2 linked regions of the Arabidopsis thaliana genome follow. The protein of the gene in region 2 interacts with the protein of the main gene of each other region in a pairwise test. Each region holds a gene or a part of one and is shown on either strand. Other genes may lie near its edges.

What was found. Proteins that work in one complex are often made in the same cells at the same time.
Region 1: the proteins of AT2G22930 (region 2) and AT1G52550 interact in a protein complementation assay, tested with the Arabidopsis thaliana proteins (one large-scale study listed by BioGRID).

The regions. Positions count from the first base shown.
Region 1 is NC_003070.9:19,571,854-19,576,003, forward strand, and holds AT1G52550 (uncharacterized protein), read right to left. Parts: upstream 2,207-4,150; 5' UTR 2,147-2,206; coding exon 1,903-2,146; intron 1,484-1,902; coding exon 1,332-1,483; 3' UTR 902-1,331; downstream 1-901. Other genes in the region: AT1G52540 (Protein kinase superfamily protein), read right to left, coding at 1-31; AT1G52560 (HSP20-like chaperones superfamily protein), read right to left, coding at 2,930-3,348, 3,634-3,913.
Region 2 is NC_003071.7:9,757,688-9,761,977, forward strand, and holds AT2G22930 (UDP-Glycosyltransferase superfamily protein), read left to right. Parts: upstream 1-1,907; 5' UTR 1,908-2,078; coding exon 2,079-3,407; 3' UTR 3,408-3,553; downstream 3,554-4,290. Other genes in the region: AT2G22940 (uncharacterized protein), read right to left, coding at 3,968-4,059.

The DNA of each region.
Region 1 (4,150 bases), on a different chromosome or scaffold from region 2:
TTCCACAGCAGAAACAACTAAAAATTTGCATCTTTGAACAAACCCAGAAACAAAACAAAAAAATCTCTCAAATTCAGCTCCTTTAGCTCTACACGCTTCCTCGTTGATGCAGAGAGAGTAAAGGTAACGCCTTTTTCCTGAAGAATGTAACAGCAAAGCAAGAAAAACGAAACTCCTTTGATGCTTAATGAGAGAGAGAGTCGCTTTTACTTCTGTAAGAAGAGAAACAAATTTTCTTAGAATATTCTTCAATGCTTAACCCCTTTTTGAATGTGGTTGTGTGTGTTTAGCTGTTTTAATTTGAAAAAAATTATACACTTTATTAAACTATTAGTGGGAATGATTGTGCATATCCACACATAGTCACATATAGTATTTATATAGTAATAATTTCATCAAAAGGTATTGTTTTTTGAATTTCAAAGATTTCCTTTTCATGGCCTGTTGATGACACATGACAACTAATCAAAGTTTCCTAATCACACACCTCACCTTGGTGAATCTGTACTTACAAAATCTTGCAATTTTTAATACATACAAAAGTTCAAATACTAGTTTTTTTTATTGTGTATGAAGAAGATCTCTAGATATGGAAATTTATTTGCTATAATCAGAACAAATATAAATTAAACATAGCATAAAATCTTAATTTAGATAGATTGTTAAATTACTCAGTGTGGTCAGAACAAAATGTTAGGCTCTTATCATAAATTTCTGTTTCTAAACTTACTACCAGCCTTTAACCAAAACAGGTCCAACTAATCATGAGCTGGTTAATTCATTGTCCCAGTATTGAATAAGGTTTACCTAAATCCAGTTATTTCTTTTTTCATATCATGAATAAACAACCACTGTTTTAAATATAAATCAAATAATAATTAAATACAACTTTGGAAATATTATATTATATAGAGAGGCCCAATAAAAGAGTATGTTGAAGCCCAAACAAGTTATATAACATATCTAAAGGCCCATTTTATACAACAAACATTCAAATCAAAGAAACGGTGCGGTTTACCGTTTGGCTGAATCAAGCACACACCAAACACATCTAGTCATTTACAATCTGAAACAGCTTTCAATAAACAATGATATTGATTTGGCATTTTGACTTAAATGCAAACTACTTTAGTTTCATCACAGTAGAGTAATCTCTATAGCTCTAAGCTAGAGATATCGTAAGAAGAGAACAATCTAGTTTCTAGTATAAAACTGTAGTCTGACAAGAAATTTGCTTTACTTGGAAGAATATTTCCTCTGTATATATACACAAACGTGTAGAGGAGTTTTCATCAATCATCATCATCATCACCACACCAATCTAACTAATACTATTTGAAGCGTGAACCCTTCTTCCCTTTACCATTACCTTTGCTGCCTCTTCCTTGTAAAGCCGAAGCCCAAAAGAAGAGAGAGATCCAAATTAGTACTGAAAGAAAGATCTTTACACGGTCTTGAATCATCGACGCTACTCCCACAAGACCTACACAAAATGTGATACCAAACAACAACTATGAATCCAAATTGTTAAGAAGATTGCTCTCGTATTGCAACCAATGACTAAACCTGTAGGGAAAAGAAAATGGTGGAACTTTTGGAAGACATTCACAAGTTGTAAAAGGAGGAGATTTATAAATCCTTAATGCTTAACAAGAGTAAAAGTCTATAAATTGTCACAAAGATCAAAACTTTAGCAATGAACAGTAATCGATCTTGAGGACTAAGATTAACATCTTTATCTACGAATCAATAGCAGTTAAACCACCTTCATTCTCCTAATTCGAATTCCGTAATGCAATTTCATCGAATTAGGAAAGATTGAAAAATAGAATTGGCAGTAAACAAAATCAGAACTCAGAGTTGAAACATTGAAGTTTTAAGGGTAAGAAGGGAAAGACGAACTTGTGAGCTCAGTCGTGTTTTTAGGCGGAGGTGGGTCGGGACTAGGCGGCGTTGGAGGGCCGAGAGGAGCGACCGCGATGCGTCGTACAGGTTTTGGAGTGGGGACGAGGAAAAGGGTCTGAGAAGGAAGTGGAGACGACCGGAACGGTGAAAAGAACGACGGAGATGGAAGAGGATGGTTTTTACGGCAGCGATGGAGGTAAAGGTTGGAGCTTGAAGTCGTGTTGGCAAACGCCGTCGCCATTTTCTTCACAAGGTATTTTGGACCTTGTTTTGTTTTCTCATTATTTTAATTTTAATTTATGTATACATTATCAAAAAAATGTTTTTGGTTTTTTCCTTCTTAATACCAAACTAAAAGAAGGAAAATGAAATATTTTCTATAATTTTCCACAAACTATTGAAATATCATGCATTTTTGTTTAACATAAATATTGTGTTTTCTTGACGACAAAAAAAAAAAATATTGTGTTTTCTTTAAAGAAACTGAACTCTGACAATACACTAAAATACTGTACTTATTAATAAATAAATAATTTAATGTATAACATAACTTGTCTATAAAGAAAAATATTTCATAGTATAGTATAGCAAATCCACAATTATTAATACAAAATTTACAAATAAAATTTTGATATGAGGTACAAAAATGGACTTCTTGTTTAATATATCAACATTTTTGTGTTCATGACGTGAATTAGCAATTTACTCCATTGAGCCATTCGCATAGAAAACATAAAAGGGACACAACATTTGCTGCTTCTTTTAATTAATTTTGGCTTCTTTCTTTTGCGAAAATTAACTATGCTGAATAACAATTTATTCCATTCTCATTACAAACACAAAACTGGTTCATTCTTTGCTTGTTCAATTAGTCTATAATGTATTTTCTAGCTTCTTTTGTTTGCGCAAATGAACTAAGTTAATTAGCAACTTAATAACTGATTCCATTCGCATAAACATAAAAAAGGTACAACATTAATTTGCTTAGTCCATCAAAGAACACAAAAACGACACCGTATCTCTTCTACTCAACAGAAATCTCCTGAACATTCTTCTTTGGCTTCTCCGTCCTAGGAATCACAAGATTAAGCACACCATTCTTGAGCTCCGCCTTAATGTCCTCAACCTTAGCATCATCAGGCAACGATAAGCTCGTGTTGTAGTAACCATAACTCTTTGAAGACCAGTACTCGTCTTCCTCAGGTGAGCCTTTCTCTTCCTCCGCCTTGTGATCTCCTTTAATCGTCAAGATTCCATCATTTACCGTGATCTTCACGTCTTCTTTGGTTAGCCCTGGAACCTCGTATCTGAGCTTGTAACAGTCGTCTTGCTCTTTCACTTGACCCATTAGTTGGAATGGATTCACGTTGAAGTTGTCGAAAATTCTGTTCATATTCTCTGTTGCTTGTATCAGAGTATTTCCTATAGTCGGAGGAAAGAACTCTGTTTTAAGAAGAAGAAAAAATTCAATTCAAGCAAAAATAGAGGTTTACATTAATTATGTTTCATGAGATTTAATGCAATGAAAATGTAAATTTAAAATTTGATGTATTTTTATGATTCTAGAATTTCAAATTTTCTTCTTAATTTTTCTTTTATGGGATATATTTTACACTTAAATGTTGAATTTTTTTTATATAATTTATTTCGAAAATATTATTATTGTGACACTATTGAAATTTTCTGCTAAATAGGTATATCAATAATGAACTAAAATGACAAACGTACCATTTAGGGTGGGAGTGAAGTAGCCATGATCGTCGGTGTTACGCCAGAGGCTTTTTCGGCCACGTCTCCGGGGGAAATTCTGTCGAGGAGATTTCTTCTCAGACACACTCACTTCTGTGTTCATCTTATCCTCTTGTTCACCAGCCGAAGTAGCCATGAATCTGTTTAGCTTCATTGGATTATGTCGATTTCCGACCAAACCTCTTTCACAAGATTGACCCATCAAACTAGGAGACAGTTTTTGTTGAAGGTTTCTCAAAGCCAGACGAGCTAGAGCCATTGTTTTCAAATCGGTAAATTTCTTAATTTTTGTCTTCTTGTCTTCTTTTTTGTGAGTTTGCAAGAAAAAGGCAAGAAGTGTTTGGTTTATAAAGATGGGATTAGGGTTTATGCTAAAAGGTTGGTTTCTAAGAGGTGTTAGAAGTTTCTAAGAGTTTCTGGTTCATTTGGGAACATAAAACAGAGATGCTTCTTGTTTCTTCTACAGCCCTTTTTCTAGATAATCACAACAAGGTTA
Region 2 (4,290 bases):
ATTTTCATTCTGACAAGAAATATTGTTCATAAAAATTTAATTGGATCGGGTTATATTTAACACGACTCTTCCACAAATATTTTTGCTTAAAAGTCGGATACAAATATTACCAAAATTGGATTGTGTCTACTAATTATGTTTCTATATTTTATAATAACAATATGTAGAAGATTTGGTTCTGATTTAAATTTATGATTCTCTTTTCATATTTGTTTGATATTTTTTTAACTACTTTGAAGAATCATATAGTATATAAACTTCCAAAAACCCCAATTTTTCTGTATATATTATGATTCACAATTTTAAAAACGGTACTATATTACCCAATTAATGAAAAAATATGTTCAACGTCACACATCATCTATAATGTTTAGACAATGATTCAAAAGTCACATTATAAATAAGATCAAAGTAAATCCAAGTCCAAATGAGCATGAACCTTCACTTAACAAGCATTAAAATTTACAAGTTTGTATACGGGTTAGTTTAGGTTTTAGTTAAACTGTTTCATTTTACCATAAATATTAAGATAGATATATTTGGAAGCAATAGAAAGTTTATAATATTATGAACATATAAAAATAAAAAATTACACGGGAAAAATTATATTGAGGGACGAGGTTTTATGATGGCTTAACGGAACTGGTTTTGAAGCAACATTAATATAAATTTTAAAATATCATTAACCTGTTTCTCCAATATGGGACATATTAAAATCAATCAAATTTTAATAATATTATGAATATTTGAACATATTAAAAAAGAGAGCACATGACAAATTATAATGCGAGACGTGTTATATGGCAGGACACTTTTAAATTAATAAAAATTTTAAATATCATTAACTACATTTCAATAAGAGTTAAACTCTCATATATTATTTTTTAACACAGTGATAACTAGACATATCGAATCAACCTGATTTAAATACGATTGTATAAATAAAAATTATTTTGTGGTATACCATTGCTTAATAATAATTGTAAACTATAAATTTAAATTTCTTATAAAATAATACTATTATAAAATTTTATATAGAACACATAATCATTAAATATTTATAAATTACTATTTTTAACAAATAAATCGTCCCCGCAAAAATTAATTAACGTGTTTTTGGAAGAAGAATAAAAGCAAAAAAAACACCTCTAAATGAACTTTGAGACTGATTAGGTGGGATAGGTTAGTGAGGGATTAGGTGAATCAATCAACGTGTTAAATGAGTAAATGACGCTGTCCTTTTCGATAGATTAACTTTCTTTTGTTTTGTTCTCGTTTGTTAGATGTTTATGGTATTAAGAAGTAAATGCTTCTTGTGAAACCGATAAATGTTTCTTCACTGAAACACCCTTAAATGGACGAAGGAAAAACAAAACAAAGAAGTACATGCTTCTTATAATCTTATGAAACCGATAAAACCAAAAGAAAATTATACTCCTTCAGAAAAATGATTTCCTGAGTTTTTCACCAAAATTAAGGAAATAATAAATGGTGCATTAATTAATTATTTGTGTAAAATCTTGTAATTTTTAGTAGTTTTTTACTCCGCTTCTATTCAAAAGTAAAATAAAAATAAAAATGCACCCTTAAATATACTTTTAAATTCAGTTTTGTTTTTAAAAAAAAAAAGTAAAATCTGCTTTAAATATACTATAAGGAATCAATCTTTTTGATACAAGAATAAAATCTCAGAAAAATCATTTTTTATATACAAGGGAGTAATTAATTATTATTAGCTCGATTTTAGTGGAATTCGTCTTCACGATATTCTCTTAATTAATATCATTTTTTTCTGACACCTGTTCGTCTTGGCTGTCTTGTGACTTATTTCTTGTAGTGAATAATTGGATTTGTTCTCTTGATGACTTGTTTTTTGTAGTTATTCTACTTATAATTAGCTATTTTATTTTCTTCTGACACATGTGCTTCACCTAACCAATCTCCAAGATCATAATAAGGGCGTTTTAGTGCACAACTATTAACGCAAGAGACCAAGGAAAAAAAAAACAGATACTTCATTTTGAGTTCTTGAATACTTGTTTTATCTTGTTTTCGTTTTTTACAATTTGGGAAAGGAAATGGAGCCAACGTTCCATGCTTTTATGTTTCCCTGGTTTGCTTTTGGTCATATGATTCCTTTTCTACATCTTGCAAACAAACTAGCTGAGAAAGGTCATCAAATCACTTTCTTGCTACCTAAGAAAGCCCAAAAACAGTTGGAACATCACAATCTGTTCCCAGACAGTATTGTCTTTCACCCTCTCACAATCCCTCATGTCAATGGCCTCCCTGCTGGTGCTGAGACAACCTCGGATATCTCAATCTCGATGGACAACTTACTGTCGGAAGCCTTGGATCTCACTCGCGATCAGGTTGAAGCTGCGGTTCGTGCTCTGAGACCGGACTTGATCTTTTTTGATTTTGCTCATTGGATTCCAGAAATTGCCAAAGAGCATATGATCAAGAGTGTGAGTTACATGATAGTATCTGCAACAACAATAGCTTATACATTTGCCCCTGGTGGTGTATTAGGTGTTCCCCCACCAGGTTATCCTTCATCAAAGGTGTTGTACCGTGAAAACGATGCTCATGCCTTAGCAACCTTATCTATCTTCTACAAGAGACTTTATCATCAGATCACTACAGGTTTTAAGAGCTGTGACATCATTGCATTGAGGACATGTAATGAAATCGAAGGTAAATTCTGCGACTATATATCAAGTCAATACCATAAGAAGGTTCTCTTGACTGGTCCAATGCTCCCTGAGCAAGACACAAGTAAACCACTAGAAGAACAGTTGAGTCATTTTCTGAGCAGGTTCCCACCGAGGTCAGTGGTGTTTTGTGCACTTGGTAGCCAGATCGTTCTTGAAAAGGATCAATTCCAAGAACTCTGCTTAGGGATGGAGCTGACAGGTTTACCGTTTCTTATAGCGGTAAAGCCACCGAGAGGATCATCGACGGTCGAAGAAGGGTTACCAGAAGGGTTCCAGGAGCGGGTGAAAGGGCGTGGTGTGGTTTGGGGAGGATGGGTGCAACAACCATTGATATTGGATCATCCGTCAATAGGCTGCTTTGTGAACCATTGTGGTCCGGGAACAATATGGGAGTGTCTTATGACTGATTGTCAAATGGTTTTGCTTCCATTTTTAGGTGATCAAGTTCTCTTCACAAGATTGATGACCGAGGAATTCAAGGTGTCTGTAGAAGTGTCGAGAGAAAAAACAGGATGGTTTTCAAAGGAGAGCTTGAGCGATGCGATCAAGTCTGTGATGGATAAAGATAGCGACCTCGGAAAGCTAGTGAGGAGTAACCACGCCAAATTGAAGGAGACTCTTGGTAGTCATGGATTATTAACTGGTTACGTGGATAAATTTGTAGAGGAATTGCAAGAGTATTTGATTTGACCAATGTTGTTGATTCTCACTTATTTTGGTAATTAATTCTGAAATTATTTGTTTTGTATGATTGGAGACAAATAAATTGCAAGAGTTCTCATAAGTCCGGCTAAATTTCCAATGACTTTGAACACTATAAAAAGTGCATTTCTATGTCAAAATCGAATTTAATTTGAATGAGAAATAAGGGTCCAAAGTGGTTAGTTTGGAAGAGCTTATAATTCTTGTAATTTTACAAATGAGTAAATGTCCCACCTTGGAAGCATGGATTTTTTTTTATTTTTCCACTAGTGACACCATGGAGTACGAGATGGATGAGTATGATGCAAAAGTACACAAGAACTTGTCATTGTTGCTATCAAGTTATACAAATGTAAGTTTTCAAACAATTTATAATACTTTCTGAAGTTAATTTTAAAAACCTTTAAAATCTTATCACAACCTTAACCTTCTAAAAACCTTTTATAGATTTTACAAATTGTTTAAAAGTTTTGAAAGGTTCTTACAAAGATTCTAAAATGTTTTTAAGACCTTGTAAAATCTTGAGATTATATTGTTCAAAATGCCATTTAATTTGTTGGTCCAAAATATGTGGATATGCCAATTATTGAATTGGCTTGTGGATTTGCCATTCTTGGTGGGTTGGAAAGACGGTTTTTACCTTTAGGGAGATGGGCAGGAGTTGTGAGTTCAAACGGTTTTTGGGAAATAAGTGGATTAGATTACAAGTTCTTATAAGTTGTGGACAATAAACAATCTATTAGTTACATATTTATTTAGAAAAGAGTAGTGACTTTTAATTTTGGTAAAACTAAATTAACGATCGAAAAAAATGGGGGAGGAAATATGTGTTCCATCAAATTTATACTTTTTCTTCATCTCTAACTAATTT